Caenorhabditis elegans: one gene and its partner. The protein of the gene in region 1 purifies or fractionates together with the protein of each later gene. This does not show direct contact. Each region holds a gene or a part of one and is shown in the gene's direction. Other genes may lie near its edges.

Region 1 (10,355 bases):
CTGTCAGATACGGCGGATATTGTAATTGCACACCCCCGGTTGACTTCAAATACCAATTGTTGTAAGTTAGTTTGAATTTTCAATAGTCTTATTGTTCATACATAGGGTGAAAAACTTGAATGGAACCGTGCTTGGCGAAAAATCACTATGCAGGAGGCTTATGCATCCACTGGTGGAAAGAATAGAGGTTGAAGAAGCATATCCAGAAGGTACCACCGGTAAGCCTAAAGTTACCGGAACAATGTTCAAACCACCTGGAAATGGCCCCTTCCCAACAATCATCGATATTTCCGGAACCGGTGGAGGCTTGAATGAACAGAAAGTAACTTATTAATTTCGAAACTAAACCGATGATAGAATATTTTTTTAATAATTCAGGGCGCCGCACTTGCCAGTCGTGGTTTTGCAGTCCTATGCCTTGCATTCTTCAAATACAAAGATTTGCCATATGAATTGCAAGAAGTCGAATTACGATATTTTGAGGTTGAAGAAATATTTTGTATTTTTCAAAAACGTTATACTTCCAGGATGCCATCAATTTTGTCACTTCATTACCCTATACGAATGACAGGATTGGCTTTCAAGGTATATCGTTTGGAGGAACTCTTGTTATGTTTCTCACCACAAGGTTCAAACAGGTAGGATTTAATGTTGTCTGAAAACAAATTTAATAGTTTAAAGATAAAAGCGGCATGCTCAATCAATGGCAGTTTCACAATGGACGAATTTGCGCACGTATTGATAGATGGAAAACAACCTCCAGTAGGAAGGTGCATTTTTAGAAAAATGTCATTTTTCATTAAATGTTTATAAAAATTCTGTTATAATATAACAAATGAAAAGGAATCACACATTTGAGCATCAAATCGAAATGATAAAACCCCCGACAAATTTCAGCATTTCAGATTTATCAATCAAGGAATTGAGGATATCTGGTATTTGAATGATTTAATGGTGTACACTGATATGGTCAGAAACCTAAAACTTGAAGATGGGGCAGGATTTAAATTCGAGGATTCAAGTCCAGAAACTGCATTTAGATTTTCTGTTAGTTTTCCCGACAAAAAACATAGAAATAATTTCAAATTTTCAGCTCGCCGTAGATGATTTGAGCACACCAACTGTATTTGTAGGAAAGGTGTTATCAGAAAAGTTGAGAAACTTAAACAGGAAAGTCGAAGTTCATTATGTTTCTGGTGGTCATTTGCTAGATCCTCCATGTTTTCCGCATCACGAAGCTGTGTTTTCAGCTTTTGCAGGTAAATTATTATTTTTTTTGTTGGCCCGCTGTCGACCGCTGTTGCAACATCTAAAATTCCGATTTCATTGATTTTTTATTAAACTTTGTTAACTTTGTTTTCTAAAATTCAAATTTTCAGGAACCTTCCAAGCATATGGTGGTGAAACAAGCCTTCACGGAAAAAGTCAGTTTGAAGTCTGGGAAAAAACTGTCCAATTTTTCTCCGAACACCTCGGCGCGCCAACTCCTCTTCCTGACTATTCGAGACATTTGGCAAAACTTTGAACTTCATTTCTCTGTGCAAATAAAATCATCTCTCCATTTCTTTACTTACAAAAAATTGATTTGAATATAAATACTCTCTTTGTATGTCGAAATGAAATTCCAATCATTTCGAACACAAAAAAAGCGAAAAAAGCATCTGAAATTGCGTTCGACGACAAATTGATAAACGTTTGAGATGGTTGCCGGTGAGTCACAATCAAAATTGAAAAGAGACATACATATTGTGAAGTTATTGTCCCCCACCCGCAATAGGTACAAATGATACATCATTATCGCCTTCAACCTACGCGTTCCATGAATAATTATGCAGAACGACAACAACAAAGGGAGTCGTATTGCAATATGTGTATTGGTACACTGTAATCCGCACGTTGAGCGCACCGAAACGGCTTAGTCAGTTCTTATGAAAAATATTCAGAATACAAAATACATAACCTGTTTTTACGTTCCGAACCGATACCCCTGAATAGGATATGAACTGTAATCAGTTTACGGGCGCGGTTTAACTTTTCAAGAAATGTTAGCATCTGTCCCGAAAAACTGTCATACTCTTTATTAGAAGCGAAACGCTGAATTTTCACATTATATATGGATTCGCAAAGTTTCCAGTTGTTATTTATGTGTTTTTAATACGTTGCAGACGACGTAGTTTATCCCCAAGCTTATTGTCTACATAGATCAAAAACTTGCGTTGCTTTGTATTTGAGTATATAGAATGAAATCACTAGTACTGTAACTTTCCTAAACCTTCTCGTGCACTTTTTATAATTGAAAATTTGACAAAAGGCTAAATTTCGCTAAAATTCTCCAACTTATACGTGTTTTAGGACATTAGGTTTTATTGAATTATTAATAATTTAGCATATTTGCAACGCATACCTGTGTTTAATTAAATATCAATTGAAAACATACCTTACTAATTAAAAATTAGATTAATTATAATGATAGATAAAAATTAGAAAAATTAGATAATTGAAAATTAAAAAATAATTAGTTGACATAAAAACGCGTTATGATTAACCAAAATGCACCAGAAGAATTAAGCAATTTAGTCAACGTTCTTGGAAAATACAACAAAAAATACCACTTTTATTATGAATTTCGGTCTTGTGCCATTTTATACGGATAGTTTGCGATGTGGCGTTGCTCATTTTACAAAAATTGCAAAATTGCCAGTGTAAGTAGAAAATACCAATTAAAAGCTAAAGACGCATTAAGAAATAATTTCCATTTCAAATAAACGTTGTTGAATTAGTAATACGTGTGTTGTTAGTTTAATTTTCATTTAAATCTCACCAAAATTCAATTTTTACTATTTCACCTGCGTGCAATTTTTGACTCATATGCACTACCCAACAAATATGTTATTTCCCTACCTCCCCCTCCCGCAATTGTAAAGCAAAAAAGTAAAAAAATGTTTAAAAAGAGACTCTCAAAATGCAAATGTTTGTTTTGATACCCGCTATCAATCCGCCCTTTTCGCCCATTTTTTCTTCTCTCCCTGATTTTACAGGCCGAGTTTCGTTTGTGTACATGAAGGCAACAGCTCCGCCTCCGTGTTATTTTGCATATATATTTCAGGCAACACCTACGGTTTGTTTGTCCGACACGGTCTCCTTAAAAGGGAGTACTGTAACTGAGCTTTTTTAAAAATGACACTGGTTCTATTTTTCCAATGCAACCTTCCTTTTAAACGTTAGTATAATACTTAAAAACAAAAAAGGAAAGTTTGTTTTTTTTTCTAGTTTCTTAATTAATAAAGTTCGCATGTACTGAAAAAATGACTCTTTTCCTGATGATAATGCAATTTATTTTATACAAATCATAAGTTTCATTAATCAACAGACATCTTAGCATTATGTTTCAGAACATTTTATGTAGATTTGAATTTTAAGGGAAGTTTTAATTTTAAATTCCGTTTTAAAGAAGACCGTTTGCCGTGAGTTTTTTTTTCAGTGTTGTTTTTATTTTAAATGTTTAACTTCAATTTTTTGGCAGTTTTAAAATGAACTTGTATACAAACAATTTCATTAATAATTGTTATTTTGGCTGTACAAGTAAATCACGAACCATAATCAAAGGCTGACTTGTAAGATGTCGGCCGATTTATCTAAGAACGAGATCGCGGGGTGCAGATTTGAAACAATCTGAACCTGTAGACAATATAATCAGCTAAATTTTATTTATTGAACTTTTTCCCAACGCTAATAGTTTCTGAGATAGACACAATCAAATAAATTTCAGAATTATAGATTAAGACCCTTTTGAACATTGAATTTTTAACAAGTCGTAAACATTTCACCTAAATTTTAGAACACGCAGTTTCGATGCTCTGAACTTATTTTTGTCAATTTGTATTCCCATTATCCTCCCCTTATCGCATACTAAAAATTTTTCCATTTTTCGATTTTAGTTTTGACGTGCTTATCTTTTGTCATCCCTTCACAACCAAAACAATTCAGAATAATATAAGGTGTTTACGATCCTTTAATACTCATGAATATGGAAACGTTGTGAAACAGTAGCATTGTGTATAAACACGCCATGACGGCAGCTAGCATCTAGTAATCGGTCACCGAATCGCCGTCGCCACCGCCGTCCGCTTTTGAATAGCGGTCAGTGCGCGTTCGTCAATAGCTCGATGAACCGTTACACTCTCCCAGTTTTTAGTTTCTGTTTCATTTTCTGTTTCATGCCTGGTTTTTTCCTTCTATAATTTGACTATACAGACAATTAGGAGTAAACCCTCCTAGGCATCCTCTTTCCACGCATGCCAAGTCCCGTCAAAATAAATAGTGCGCGCGCCAATTTGTAACACGGTTTTTTGTTCTGTCAAGAGTTAGGGCTCTCGAAACAGCTAATAGATCTCGCGCATTGTCATTGTGTCCTACAAACGATCCATCTCTAATCTGTGTCATATTCACTCATATTCTTGTCACATATGTATAACGTCATTTACTATGAGGTAACTTTTCTACACTTTTTCATCGAAAAATAGTTCGCTGTGTTTTTTTTTTAATTTTCGATTATGAAAATGCAATTAATTGAAAACTATTTAAGTTTCCATGTTTGTAGGAAATGTCGGAGAGCGAATACCGAAGCTCAATTTCGGTTCGACCAACGTTTAACAGAACAATGCAATCCACCGCCACCTATGGAAGTACTATTTGTGAGTTTTCAGATGAATATTTTGAATATGAGCAGTACTTTGTCTTTAAAATTGTATTATATGATGTATTATATGATTTATATTAAAATTAAACCCTCCAAATGTTTTAATTTATGTTTTACAATATTCAATTGGCAATATGCCAAACGTTCAAACAACAACCCTGACCTTTTGAGAAGTTTTGAACATTTTTGCTGATCTGAACTTTCAAAATGTACAAATAAAATCAATTAAAATTCAATTAAAAGAAAAAACTTGTGGAATGTTTTATTGTCTCACTACCAAAATTATGATTGGTGAAAAATGATTAAGTGAACTTTTTTGACTGTAAAGTTAAAAATAAAAATTTAAAAAGTGTTAAAAAATTATTAACATTAATGAATTGATTCCTCTGGAAAACCTACAAATTTTTTTTGTTTTATGGTCATGTTTGTCAAGTGTTATTTTTCAGTTCTGATACACGTTTAAAAACTACTTCAAACTACAAAAACTGACTTCCAAAAATTCAAATTTCAGCTTCTGGAACTAGCCGCACACTCAAGATCACAGAGATCGGTGGATCTAATCTAACATCAGGCATGTCTCCATTCGGAGGCCATGCCGCCTCTGCCATTCGTGAATCTCGTACTCGCGAGAAAAAAGAAATGAGTGAACTCAATGACCGCCTGGCGAGCTACATTGAGAAAGTTCGATTCTTGGAGGCTCAAAATCGCAAGATGGAGAAGGACTTGAATTTGCTCCGTGGAAAATGGGGACACGATTCTACAAGTGTTAAAGTTATGTATGAGACTGAGCTCAGAGTAAGTGAATGAATATTATATACAGCAAAATCTGAGAAACTTTAAATTCTGTTCAGAGTGCGAAAGACCTGATCGCCGATTCTGACAAAGAAAGAGCTCAGCTAGAAGATCAAATTAAGAAACTTGTTGAAGAGCTGAACAACTATAGAAACAAACTTCATGAGGCTGAAAGAGGTGCTGACGTTACACGTAAAGAGCTTGACAATGTGCTCGGAAGACTTGGAGCATTGGAAGCCGAGATTGAGCTATTGAAAAGAAGAATTTCTCTGATGGAAGAAAGCATCGGTCATTTGAAGCGCGAAAATCATCGTATGATCGACTCACTTCATCATGCCAGAAATGTAAGTTTCAGTAGAAAACTTAATTTATATGTACAGCTTTCAGGCTGTGGAACAAGAAACTCTGAACCGCATCGATTATCAAAATCAAGTGCAGACACTACTGGAGGAGTGTGATTTCATTCGCAGAATTCATGATTCGGTATGAAAAACAATTAGTACAGCTTTCAACGAGTGTCTTTTTCAGGAAATCCACGATCTTCTCGCTATGGCATCTCGTGATACTACGGTGGAAAACCGCGAATATTTCAAGAATGAGTTATCCTCTGCTATTCGTGAGATCAGAAGCGAATATGATCATGTGAGAAAAGTCATTAAAAGAGGTAAAAAATAGAGACTTGAATTACAGGTGAGCAACACTACCCGTACTGACATCGAGTCTTGGTACAAGCTGAAGGTTCAAGAAATTCACACTCAAAATTCTCGCAACTGCTTGGAGCAGAATTATGCTCGCGAGGAAGTTAAGAGACTCCGCACAACACTTGGTGATATGCGTGGAAAGATGGCGGATCTAGAAGGAAGAGTTCGTTTTGATGACTATATACATCTGATATTATTTGTCAACATTTCAGAATCTTCTCCTCGAAAAACAAATCGAAGACCTCAACTACCAGATGGAAGAGGATATGAGATCATATGAACAATCACTGAACGATAAGGACACATCGATCAACAAACTTCGTGACGAGAGCAAGATCCTGATGGTTGAGCTTCAAATGCTCATTGATACAAAACAGACTCTCGATGCTGAAATTGTGATCTACCGTAAGATGCTTGATGGAGAAGAGAATCGCGCAGGTCTACGTCAGCTCGTCGAGCAGGTTGTTAAGACAACATCTATTCATCAAACCAAGGAAATTGGTAGGTTCGCGTATACTCAATGTTTACTTCACGTTACGATGACCACAAATTACGGTTAAAATTTAAAGTATACGTCCACTGATAACTTGTTTCAAGTTTTCAAGTCATGCGGTCACCAAACTGTGTAACGTAACTTTATTATTGTTTTCCGCCCAGAGAGACCGCTGGGTGTGTCCCCTTGTTGATATACCTTGGTCAATTTAGTACTCCTATTTAATCGCTTTACTTTTGATTTGGAACAGCATTGTTTCATCTTTAACCCAAAAAAGTAACATGCCAGAAATTCATTGTTCTCAATACGAGACTATCACTTTTGACGACGTTCCCCATACCCATTACCTTGTCGGTGATAAAATTCGCAGAAAGCCGCACGGTAAGATTAATAGGAGTAATAGGTGTCACGAGGCATTGTTAGTTGCAAATTTATATCAGTTTTTGTGTTTTGTTGCAGAGAGTCTTCGAGTTCTCAAAGGTGAAACGACTAGTCATTCGTCGTATTCCAGATCAGCAAAAGGAAATATTGCAATTCAGGTGAGTGGAAATTACATCCCAAAAATTGATGTATATTCTGAAAAAAACAATTATAGCAAAATTTTGAAAGCAATCATGGACATTTTTTGAGCGAGTTTTTGCCTGCAATTTCCACTGAACACTTCAGAAAATGACTATTCTTCAAAATGGCCGTGCACAAAATTTAGAAATATGTGCCTGGTGTGACGATTTTGCATGATCCGACATTAACCGGGTTCGCTGCTCACTCAGAACCTAGTCCTGTGCAAAACCAAATATATGTCGGATCATGCTGAACAAAAACTTTCCTTAAAGTGGCCGTGCCCAAATTTCTGAAAACAGTGTTTTCGATTTTTCATTTTTGCAAGAAAAAAATCCACCATTTTCAGGAAGCCGAGCCATCTGGAAAGTACATTGTACTGGAGAACATCTCAAGACGTGATGAGAACATCGGAGACTGGAAACTCCGTCGGAAGATTGCCGGAAAACGCGAAATCGTGTTCACCTTCCCGCGCGAGTTCACCCTTCGTGCTCAAAAGAGCGTGAAAATTTTCGCACGTGGGCAGGGAGTTCATTCCCCACCCGATAGTCTTGTGTACGACCTCGAAGACTCGTTCGGCACCGGAAACGACGTCGTTACTACTCTCTACAACAAAGAAGGAGAGGTAAGCGTCAATAAATTATGCGCGCTGGAACTGACTGGAAACGTTATTTATCTTGTTTCAGGACCGTGCTTCCCACAGCCAACGTGCTTCACACACCTAATTGCATCAACCAATTAAATCCTATTGAACCCGGAATTACTCTCGCTTGCCTCAACTCTCTACTTTTAATGTTTGATCGAATCTTGACCCAAGATACATTTGTTCTCACCGTTAGCCATTCCTATAAATGTTCGGATTTTCAGAATAAACCAATACTGTTTTGAACCGCCAAAGTGAAACATTGATTTTCGTTTCATATCATACGAAAAGCCTTTCATTTTTTGGCTAACTCTCTAACATTTCCATTGCTTTACCATGTGCTTTTTCCATCAATTAACATTTGTAAACTATAAACTGCTTATTTTATTTCTGATCAGTTTGCTTGGTTATTTTTTTGGGAACTTTTTGTTGGACAACTGGGGGAATAGAAATGGGTAAATGCACAGGGAAAGTAAGGAGAAATGACATATAGAAACAAATACAGAAAAAAGTGATTCGTGGGAAAATGTAAACTTTCCAGAGTCTGATGATTGAATAATGCGGTAAGGAATGAAGCCAATTCTTGAGTGGGGGTTTGTGAGAGGGAAAAACTTGAAATAACTGAAGTGGGATAAAGCCGATAGCTTGACACGTGGATCGACAAAAATACACAGATAACATGAACGCTAAAATTTTGAAAGTAAGGAGCTCAGGCAATGACAGTTAGTGGGGTGGAGGTCCCTGAACATCCCAAGTCGAAAGATGTCTCCAAGACTTCTGAATTCTCATCTCCATTCTCATCTTGCTTCTTGAACTCGGCCAACTTCTTCATCAAGTCTTTTTCGGTTTCTTCGACGCGCAAGATGTCACTGAAATTTAAAAAAACAATTAAACAAACAGTTCTTCTAAAGTGCATTTCGTTTGTCAATTTTGTGGTCCAAGTTGCAGAATTTTGAATACATTTGGTCGACGTGACGTCCTTGATAAGGCAATCAGCCGAACACTCTCAATGTCAATAGATAAAGGACGACGTGGTCACAATCACGTGGATCGATATGATCATCATAATTTCCGGGGTCTCTTTTGTCTGGCATAGTTCAAAGTTCAAAGATCTTACCTTCTAGTCTTGTTGATTGCTTCTTTTGTAGCTGCTAGCGAAGCCTTCAGCTTGTGCGATTTCTTGAGCTCAAGTTGGTATTGTTGCGGCCAGTTTGCAGCGATCATCGGCTTCAGAATTGCTCGCAAATTTTTCTGTTGCTTAAGCAGTTGACGAAGCTCTTCCTCCTGCACAAGATACTCGGCGACTTCTTGTTGATTCATCGTTTCCGACAACTTTTTCACGTCGGCTCTGAAATTTCTTCAATTGGGAGTAAGGCACAACCAATCAGATCACCAAAGACTCACCTTTTGAAACAATCAAAATCGTCTTTCTGTGGGATAGTGGCGGCGCCCATCGTGATATTCTTTTTCTCCATGACTGACATGTAGTCTGAAATGAGATTATATACTAGAAGACATGGTCGGATGACGATGAACTATCCGGTCAGGTCGCGTGGGCGGTCTTTCATACTATTTTCAACCAAAAACCGGAGGAGGATGTGAGATAGTGTGACACAAAATTTGCAACACTGCTAGATTTCTAAAAATATAGTTGCCGAATTCAAATTGACGTAATATGTATTTTTTTCTTTTTCAAAAATCACATTTTTGATTGTATTTTTTTAAAAACTGAAAAATAAAATAAAATTGAAAGTGACGAAAAATGGTTCACCGCGGGGAGTGGCCAAACTAAAATCATCTATAAATAAAAGTAAAACTGATTTAAACTTTAAATGGCTTAGATAACGTTAAGGGGACAATTTTCAAAAAAGATAGAGAGTAAGAAAGAGAGAGAGAGAACGATTGAACAAATGACAGACAAGTTTTTTTTCATTCTGCAATCAACTGAAGCGGTCAACACCGGGAGGTTATCGAGAACCATGTACCGAACGTGAAAAAATCAAATAGAAGCAGTCTTTTGTTGACAATGATTTGTACTTTTCCGGGGGGCCGTCTTTGTGTTTCCGTTAGTACTTTACTTTTCAAAAAGTTGGGTGCCAGTTTTCAAAAAATGAAATGATAATGAACAAAGATATATGATAAAAAATTGGAATTTAAAACTTTTGATTTTTTTAATAAAAAACTCAGATGACATTTTGACTATAAAAGAATAGCTCTAGTCAGAAAATTTCATAACAATAAGGTGATGAACCAGAAAAATTGAGAAGTTGGGAAAAATTGTTCAAAAATTTGTATTTTATAAGATCAAATTGGGTCCTATCTGGTTTCATACGAGAAATGTATGTATGACTAATTGATAAGAATCCAAAATGTTCGATTTTGTCGAAGAAATCTAAAATACAGCTTCCGCTATTTAAGATAGTTTGAGCTCATTTAAATTTTTAATTTTCTCAAAAATGTTAAATGTTA
Region 2 (9,592 bases), on another chromosome or scaffold:
GAGTGTCTAGTTTAAAACCCCGTAACTTGTTCAACTTTACATATTTCGAGCTGATTTTTTATGTGGAGCCTAAATAAAATATTTGTTTAAAATTGGGTACACTTTTGAAAAATTAAACCTCAAAACTACAGTACCCCACGTGTTTTCGCTGCGGGACTCCAGAATTTTCAGAAACTTTTTTTTTGCTCTTGTCCTTCTCCTTCTCTCTTCATGAGCTCAATTACTATGCATTTTCGGCTTCCAAGTAATATTATTTACATAAATTATAGAATTTATATTATTTCGAGCACTTTTTCGAGTTGTTCGGCTTCTTTTTTTTTTCTGAAAAAAATTCTGAAAATTTTTTTTTTATTTAAAAAATTTTTTCTTGACTTTTTCTAATTTTTTTTTTGTATTTTACGCTTTTTTATCAAAAACATAAGAAAAATTTCAGATTTTCCATGAAAATGGAGTCATTATCCCATTTGACACCGATAGACAGGGAAATTCTGAACAAGTCCTGGGGAATTGTGTCCAAGTGAGTTTTTTTTCCAAATTTTAAGATTATTTTAAATACTTCAGTGGATTTTATTAAATAATTTGAGTTCAGCTCATTGAGAGCTTTCATTTGACCCCAAATATGGCTTGGTTCCGCTGATTTTCAGAAAAAATGGGTCCCGCCACGAAAGTCTTGGGTTACTGTAGATTTGTTTGAATTTTTGTTAATTTTTTTGATGTTGCGTATAACAAACATTTATTGTAAACTTAAAAGCAAAATATGAGCAAAAATTTCAAAAATTGAAAAAGTTATGAATTTTTGAGCCCCGCCACGAAAACTCCTGGGTTACTGTAGTTTTTTGGGTGACTGTTACAAAACTAATTTTAAATAGTTAATAGGTACTAATAGAGATTAATAAAACAAAAATTAGCAAAAAATCTCGAAACATGAAAAAGTTATGAATTTTCGAAAATGTCAGATTTTTCAAAAAATTTCCAAAAATTTTTTTTTTCAGAGACATGCAACAAGTGGCTGTAAATATATTCCAAATGATATTCGAACAAGCTCCCGATGCAAAACTCATGTTCTCCTTCATGATGAAAGACTATAAGTATCGATTTTCCAGAAAAATACTCAAAATAACCACCCCAAAAATTTCAGAGAGGACAAAAAGAGCAACGAGTTCATTTTTCACGCAGTGCGGTTTTTGCAGGTGGGTTTAAACATTTTTTTACATAAAAAAATGAGTTCAGCTCATTGAGACCTTTAAAATGACCCCCCACATGTCTTGTTTTAAAAAAATGACACGAAATTCCATGGCTCCGCCCCCAAAAAGTGGGCGGGGCCTAAATAGCTAAAGAAAAATGTATAGTTATATTAAAGTTCTCAGTGGGGTAAATTAAACTTAGTATCATTTTTAAAAAATATTCGAAAAGTACGGAAAATTGTTTGAAAAATCATAATCTCCCAAATTTCGCAATATTTCCAAGAAGTGGGCGGAGCCTAAATGGTTTTTTTACGAAACCTAGTCGTGTTTATACTTAAATCAAAGCTCCTGTCCGGGAGATTTCAAAAATCCTAAAATCAATATCCACTCTACTAAAATGGGTGAGTAGCGACTCAAAAACAACTAAATTTAATAAAATTTTCAATTTTTACCTTAATTTCATTGATTTTATCAATTTTTTGCAGGTTATCGAGTCAACAATGACACATTTGGAAGATCCTGCTCAACTCGACGCGGTTTTTCTAAATTTGGGAAAAATCCACGCAAAACATGAAGAACAGCTGGGTTTTAGGTAGGCCGCCGGGGGGGGAGGGGTTTAAAAAATCAATAATTTATTGATTTTTTGATTCTTAATTTCAGCGCTCATTATTGGTCGGTTTTCAAGGAATGTGTGTTGTTTCATTTTCGGAAAGCAATGAAATCACATAATAAGTGAGTTTTATCAATTTTTCAAAATCTGTGCAAAAAAAAATCAATTAATTATCGATTTTACCGCCAAAAAATCGATAAATCACCGATTTTCTACAAATTTTACCCATGAAAATCCCAGATTTCACAGGTTCCACAAGCGAAATGAAATGTCGTTTGCCGAAATCGATTCGGCCATTATTCTGTGGCGGGAGGTGCTCCGCTTCATCATTGATCGCATGAAGGTCGGATATTCCGAGTCGGGAGCTATTAGAAAATCCAATAAACAGGTTTGCTCAAGGAAAATTAGAAAAAATAGTGAAAATCTGGCAAAAAAAAAGGAGGAAAATCGATTGAAAATGAAGAAAAAAAATCGATTTTTCAAAAAAAAAAAAGTTTAAGTGGGCGGAGCCAAAAATAATGGGCGGAGCTTAATATTAAAGTTCTCCGCGTGACAAAGTTAAATTTAATGATAATATTGAAGAAATGTAATGAAAAATTGTTTGAAAAATCATAATCTCCCAAATTTCGCAATTTTTTCCAAGAAGTGGGCGGAGCCTAAATCGTTTTTCGATCGGAACCTAGTCGTGTTTATACTTAAATAAAAGCTCTCAAAGTGGCTAAACTGAATTTCACTAAATCTAAATGAAAACAACAGTATTTTCTCGAAAAACTGAAGTTTCACAATATTTTTCAACAAGTGGACGGAGCCTAAATTGTTTTTGCACGGAACCTAGTCGTGTTTATACTTAATTTGAAGCTCTCAGTCTGACAAATCTATATTCTCATAAATAATTGTGAAATCTCGAAAATTGGCTGAGTAGCGACTCGAAGTATTTTTCAAAATTTAGATTTTTACAAATTTCTACATAAATCAGTCAAAAATCAATATTTTCAAACGATCTAAAAATCAGTCGATGGATAAATTTTCAGACTACTGCTGACTTAGTTTTCATATTGAAAAATCAATAAATTTCAGGCAATAAACGGCCAGCACTCGATATCCGGCGATGACTCGGGCCTAAGCTCGGGCTTAAGCGTCGAAACGAAACAGGACCTTACTCAGGTGAAAATTTCTGCATTTTCTGGCAGACAACATCGCACGGCTTCCACCCGTCACAGCTTGGCCTACATAACTGCCACACCGGCAGAGCCGATGACGTCATCGACCTGTAACTTTCTGAAAACGCTGGCCTCAATGTCGCCGAAATGTGTTAGACGACGATTTTCAGCATCTCCAAATGCTAGAATGCATGTTTAAAATGATATTTTTGTAGTTATTGTGATTTTTCAATATTTAACAATTTTTTAAATTTTTATAAAAAAATTGAAAAAAATAGATTTTTTTCAAAAATAATTTTTTTGCTTTTTTCAACGGGTATGGTCCCGAATTTCACAAATATTCCAATTTTTTGTTGGCTGGCTCAATTGCACGAAATGCTCGGCGGGATATGTAAGTTTTTATTTCTAAAATTTTTTTTTTAAATCAATATTTCTCAAAAAAAAATTCCAAAAAAAAATCGATAATTTTTTCTTCAAAAAAATCTAATTTTCAGGCTCTACGTCGCCGCGAATTATCGATTATTGTACCCGAATATTTCATTTGTCGCCGAAAATCCGACGTCGAACCATTCGAGGAATCTTCGCCGACTCCTTCGTAAAGTTATCGATTTTTTTTTGAATTTTTTGATTATTTTCGTATATTATATATATATTATCGATTTTTAAATTTTTACTATGATTTTTGTTTTTTGATTTTCAAATACATGAAAATCTCCTTCCCTAATTTTTTTTCCTTTTTTCCCACAAAAAGTTCACACCTCACTGGGCACGCCGAGAGCCCGACCAGCAGGTGGAAATCAGAAAAACTCTTATCAATTAGGGGGTGCGGCGAGGTTTCCGTGGTAACTGGTCGCCTTCCTCTCCCCGAAGGAAAAGCTCCAACTTCTTTTTATTTTTGTTGTCAGCTTTGTTGCTTTACGAATTCCCCTTTTTTCTCTTATTTCTGCCAAGGTGCCAAAATGAGCAGCAGCGAGGATAATCGCAGAACTAAGAAGGACTATAAGAAAAGGTAAGCAAGATTTGTCTGAAAATGTGCTTTTAGAGTTGATATCTTGAATTTTAAAGTGAAAAATTTGAATTCTCCGCTATGAAAAACCTGAATACCCCAGCGGGGGCTCGAACCCCTGACCTTTTCACCAAAACCAGCCCTGTTACCGACTGCGCCACCGGTACGCCGAGCCAGGCGCTGCTGCTGCGCGTAATGGGCGCCGTGGCGCAGTGGGTAAGAGGTTTGACCTCTGTGAAAAAGGTCGCGGGTTCGAGTCCCCGGCAGTGTATTTAGGTTTTTCATGGCGGAGAATTCGAATTTTTCACTATAAAACTTGAAAATATATCAAGTACGGGTGTTTTCTAGCAATCTTCTTTTTTTTTTGAATTCTAAATTTCAGGTCAAAACAAAACAGGGAAAGGTCTAGAAGGTATGTTAGTCACTTTTAAAATCAAAAAAAAAAATTAAAATTGACGCTTTTGCAGTCCAATTGCAAGAAACCGCAGCCGCTCAACAAGCCGTGGGACGTTTGAGGAGATTGAGTATATTGATTTTTGTAGTTGGAAAATATTTTGAAACTATCTATATATATGGGAAGAAGTATCTTATTTATCTATTGTGTTGTGTTTTTTTGGAAACATGGATTACATGGCAAATTGCTCATTTATTATTTTTATAGAGTTACTTGGCTTGGAATTTTAAATTTTGAGCATTTCGAGCCCAGCTATGGCTCAAAATTGAATTTTAGGACAATTTTTTCAGAAAAAAACCAAATGTTATGCCAAATTAAACAAAAAAAAGTTGTTACCACTAGTGGGACTCGAACCCTTGACCTATTTTCGAAGTCAAGGCTGTAACCAGCTGAGCCATTGGAACAATTTTTTATTTAAAATTTTTTGCTAAATCCGAAAATCTAGGTTATATTGCTCTCCGAGCATTATGAGCCAGGCTATGGCTCAATATATGATTTGTTGTGTTGATATCAATTTATTGTAACAAAAAAAAATTTTTATCACTACTGTATCACTATTTTCATCGATCTATCTATGTCCTTCCTATTTTTCGAAAAATTCAAAAAATGCAAACAAGTTTAGCCCAATTTTCTCCCGTTTTAATCCAAAATTGTCGAAAATTCCAGCTCCCCAGTCCGTGACCGTTCTCGGACACCGAAGGCTCCCCAATTCAACTGCCGTCAGTGCCGGAAAGCTTTCGACTCGATTCGGGAGCTCGCGGAGCACGAGATTAAAAATCATGAAGATCAATTTAATTGCTATCATTGTGACAAGGTAAATGGACTAGAAATATTGATTTTTTAAAAATAATATTGATTTTGGGAAGATATCGATTTTATGGAAATTAATGGTTTTTGAAAAATTATAGATTTTTCTAGAAATATTAATTTTTCTAGAAATATTAATTTTTCTAGAAATATTAATTTTTCTAGAAATATTAATTTTTCTAGAAATATTAATTTTTCTAGAAATATTAATTTTTCTAGAAATATTTATTTTTTTAAAATATTGATTTTCAGAAATTATCGATTTTATGGAAATTAATGGTTTTTGAAAAATATTGATTTTTGGAAGAATATTGACTTTTCTAGAAATATTGAATTTTTGAAAAAAGAATGATTTTCTGAAAAATATCGATTTTAGGTGTATTGATTTTTGGAAAAAGTATCGATATTTAGAAATTATTGATTTTTGGAAATTATTGATTTATGAAGAAATAATGATTTTTCTAGAAATATTAATTTCTGGAAAAAAACTATGATTTTTGGAATATATTGATTTATGGAAAATTTTCGGAAAAAACATTAATTTCTGGAGGAATATTGATTTTTCTAGAAATATTGATTATTGGATAAATAATGATTTTTGGAAATTATTGATTTTTGGAAATTATCGATTTGTTGGAAATTATTGATTTATGGAGAAATAATAATTTTTCTAGAAATATTAATTTCTGGAAAAAACTATGATTTTTTAGAAATTATTGATTTTTGGAGGAACATAGATTTTTTCTAGAAATATTGATTTTTCTAGATATATTGAAAATTATTGATTTTTGGAAAAATTATTGATTTTTGGAGGAATATTGATTTTTCTAGGAATATCGATTTTTGGGGAAAAAACTAACTTTTTTCAGAAATCCGAATCAATTGAGCGCCTGGCGGCCCATACCGCCCACCGACACGGCCCAAAGCCTGTAATCTGCGCGTATTGCCAGGAGCCATTTGGTAAAAGCTCTGAATTAATGTCAGATGATGATTGGGACGAGTTCAGGGATCATATTTTTAAGGTTTGAAGAATTTTTGGGTTTTAAAACGTATTTTTTGAGCAAAATCCAAAAAATTTAGTTTATTTTGCTTCCTGAGATTTTCGATTTTCGAGTTATGGCTCAAATTGGGATTTTAGAACAATTTTTCAAATAAAAAAAATTTAAAAAAAAAACAATTACCACTGGTGGGACTCGAACCCTTGACCAATTCTTTCGAAGCAAAACCTGTAACCAGCTGAGCCGTTGGAACCTTTTTCAAAATCTAATTTTCCAGGAGACAGTAAAAAAGCGGATGTATCGCCATGGAAGCCGTAATTCCAGTCAAAATGTCTCAGTTGGTGGTGCTCTCCGTGGAGTTGGATCCTGTCCTCATGGCCCGCCGGTCAAGTGCAAGTGAGCAATTTTTTCTGAATTTTGAGCACATTTCAGAAGCTCAAAACAACGGTTTTCACCAAAAAAAAGTTTCCAGAAACTTCCCCCAATGTCCTGGAGCCAAATGCATATATTCCCATAATATGTGCCGTTATGAGGACACTTGTAACAAATCCACATGTCCATTTGATCATTCAAACCGCCCGAGAACCTGCATGACCTGCGTCAACGATATGAAGTCCAGACGTCGAAATTATTGACTTTTCAGAAAAGTTAAAAATTATTTTTTTGCTTATTTAATATAGTTGGTTTCCTAAAAATTTAGAAAATTCTGTCTGGAAAAGTCTGAAATAAATATTTTTTTTCCCGGTAAAAATTAATGTGTGTAAGATATAGTTTAGGCATGAATCTGTAATTTGGTACAGTTTTAACAATTTTGGGTTTTTATACTCAAAAATGTGGTCAAAACTTTTAAGATTTTTAATTCGAAATGTAACAAACAATATTCGAGACTTTTCAGAGCCTACTTTTTAAAAAGTTTTTAGATAAATTTCACAAATTCGCTAATTCTGAAGAATTCCAAATATTATGAGATTTTTTTTGGCGGGAATTCAAATTTCTGAGAGAAAAATATGGCGGTAATCCAAATTTCTGTAAAAAATTTTGACGGGAATATAAATATTCTGAGAAAAATTTCGGCGGTAATTCAAATTTCTGAGGAAAGATTTGGCGGGAATTCAATTTTTTTAAATTTCGGCGGGAATTCAAAATTCTGTGAATATTTTTGGCGGGAATTCAAATTTCTTTTTAAAAATTTTGGCGGGAATTCAAAATTCTGTGAATATTTTTGGCGGGAATTCAAAATTCTGTGAATATTTTTGGCGGTGATTCGAATTACTGTTAAAAAATTTGGCGGGTGTTAATTTTTTTTTTTTAGTTTCGGCGGGAATTCAAAATTCTGTGAATATTTTTGGCGGGAATTCAAATTTCTTTTTAAAAAATTAGCTTTCAAAAAATTCCCCATAAAAAGTTTGCCTGCAAATATTCGTACTATTTCTTTACATAATGACTCATATTCCAAAAGTTTCGAAATTTTCTCCGATTTTCCATGATTTATATCAAAATTCCGCAAATTTTCTGAAAATTCATTTATTAAAGATGTCAAATGACAATTTTCTAATGTTTTAATCAATTTTTCATTTAATGAATCACTGTTTGCCCACTTTTTGGAAGGGGAGTGATGACAATATGATAAGCTGATAAGTATGGGTTGAAACGAAAATCGATGTTTGCCTGCTTTCCACATTTTTTCATTTTTCTACGTGTTATCTAGTTTTTGAAGGCATTTCACCTAATTTTTTCGCTTTTGAAATTTGAAATTTTGATTTTCTAACCGTTTTTTGCCTTCTTTTTTTGATTTTTCAAGGTTCTTTTGAGCTTTGAGCCCATTGGGAATTTTCGGGTCCCGCCACGAAAAATCGTGTAGTTTCATACATAAACAACTTGATCAAATAGTAGAAAATAAAATTCCTAACATTTTGCAAAAAAATGATCAAAAAATCTTAAAAATTAAAAAAAATATTTCTTTCAAAATATTTTTTAACGAAATTTTAGATATTAAAATATGATACTAGATAATATATTACTTTTGTTTTCTTTTTAATTTTAATTCTCCAAAAACCCACTGAAATTCAATTTTAAAAAATTCGGATTTTGGGTCCCGCTACGAAACCTCTTGGGGTACTGTAGTTTGTTAACCTATTTTATTTACTATAAAATTACCGTACAGAAACAAATTTTTCTACATTTGGAGTCAAAACCAGCTAAATATCTCTTAAATTGAAAGAGTTACGAAATTTAAAAATTTTTTAAAAATATTCAAAATTTTTTTTTCGAATTTTTCTAATACTAAATTTCAGAAATTAATAGCTAAACTATTTTATTTTAAACTATTTTGAATTAAATTAATTCTAAAAATTTGACCCCATGTGCTTACAAACAGAAGTTATAAATTTTCGGGTCCCTCCGCGAAAACTCATGGGCTACTGTATTTTGAAACTTTTATCAAAATTTGACAATTTTTCTAGAAAGATGAAGTAATTGACATTATTTTAAGTTAAAATTCAGCTAAAAATCTTGAAAACTGAAAAAGCTATGGAATTTCAAAAAATTGGAAAATTAATGCAGAAATTTTTTTTCTGCAAAAAAAAACAATTTTTTTTAATTAACAAATTTTAACATTTAAAAAATTCAACCCTAAATTTATATTTATGAAGTTATATAGTTCTTAAAAATAAAATTAAAAAATATATATATATATATATATAAACTACAAAACCTACAGTACCCTAGGAGTTACGTGGCGAGACCCATAAAATTTGGAATTTTATGTAAAATTGGCGGAGCAAAGGCTTGTGCGGGCTCATTTTGAAGTTAAAATGAACTTGATTTATTCAAAATGTTAAATTTACAGTATTTATAACTTCTCTTTTAGAAATTGAAAATTAAAAAAATTTTCGAAATTTTTAGAAATTCATTTTTTTGTGAACTTTTTTTTTCCATTTTTTCAAGACTTTTATTTAAAAAAAAACATTATAAATTTCTTTTCAGATCAAAAAAATGGGTAACCCAGAAACAGCGCAAGTGTACCCAGTCGCTACGGGACCCCAAATGGATTCAGCTCCGCCCCCGTATACGGTAGTGGGCGGCGCGCCAGTTGCCGTGGAAATGCAGCCGGTTTATGCGGCTTATCCCCAACAACAGGCTTACGGCCAGCCGACTGTTGTGCAGGCTCATGTAGTCCAGCAGCCTACTCAGGCTACTGTAATCATTAGTGCTTCTGTGAAACACGTGGATCAGGATAAACCATATTTGGAGTACTGTCCGAGATGTCAGGTTGGTTGTTTTATTGAGATGTTGGGTCTCACCACGAAAATTAAATTTCACCGTAGAATTGCGATTTACATAAAGTTTAACTAGGAAATTCGGAATCTCCACT

The links.
Region 2: the proteins of ifa-4 (region 1) and Y22D7AL.16 fractionate together in Caenorhabditis elegans (co-fractionation; one large-scale study listed by BioGRID). This does not show direct contact.

Annotation. Positions count from the first base shown.
Region 1 is NC_003284.9:4,910,225-4,920,579, reverse strand, and holds ifa-4 (Intermediate filament protein ifa-4), read left to right. Parts: upstream 1-4,600; 5' UTR 4,601-4,603; coding exon 4,604-4,694; intron 4,695-5,210; coding exon 5,211-5,494; intron 5,495-5,550; coding exon 5,551-5,835; intron 5,836-5,878; coding exon 5,879-5,974; intron 5,975-6,019; coding exon 6,020-6,133; intron 6,134-6,181; coding exon 6,182-6,355; intron 6,356-6,404; coding exon 6,405-6,693; intron 6,694-7,144; coding exon 7,145-7,224; intron 7,225-7,592; coding exon 7,593-7,868; intron 7,869-7,929; coding exon 7,930-7,968; 3' UTR 7,969-8,272; downstream 8,273-10,355. Other genes in the region: K05B2.4 (Acyl-coenzyme A thioesterase 1-like), read left to right, coding at 1-61, 106-322, 379-483, 528-638, 682-770, 906-1,047, 1,094-1,259, 1,380-1,525; K05B2.2 (Ras-associating domain-containing protein), read right to left, coding at 8,596-8,755, 9,004-9,234, 9,291-9,375.
Region 2 is NC_003281.10:1,659,474-1,669,065, reverse strand, and holds Y22D7AL.16 (C2H2-type domain-containing protein), read left to right. Parts: upstream 1-3,849; 5' UTR 3,850-3,913; coding exon 3,914-3,963; intron 3,964-4,342; coding exon 4,343-4,372; intron 4,373-4,427; coding exon 4,428-4,484; intron 4,485-5,080; coding exon 5,081-5,228; intron 5,229-6,090; coding exon 6,091-6,243; intron 6,244-6,496; coding exon 6,497-6,615; intron 6,616-6,691; coding exon 6,692-6,854; 3' UTR 6,855-6,962; downstream 6,963-9,592. Other genes in the region: glb-30 (Globin domain-containing protein), read left to right, coding at 447-517, 993-1,088, 1,139-1,190, 1,670-1,776, 1,845-1,916, 2,044-2,182, 2,872-3,153; Y22D7AR.3 (Ovule protein), read left to right, coding at 3,273-3,345, 3,449-3,573; Y22D7AL.15 (LITAF domain-containing protein), read left to right, coding at 9,214-9,489.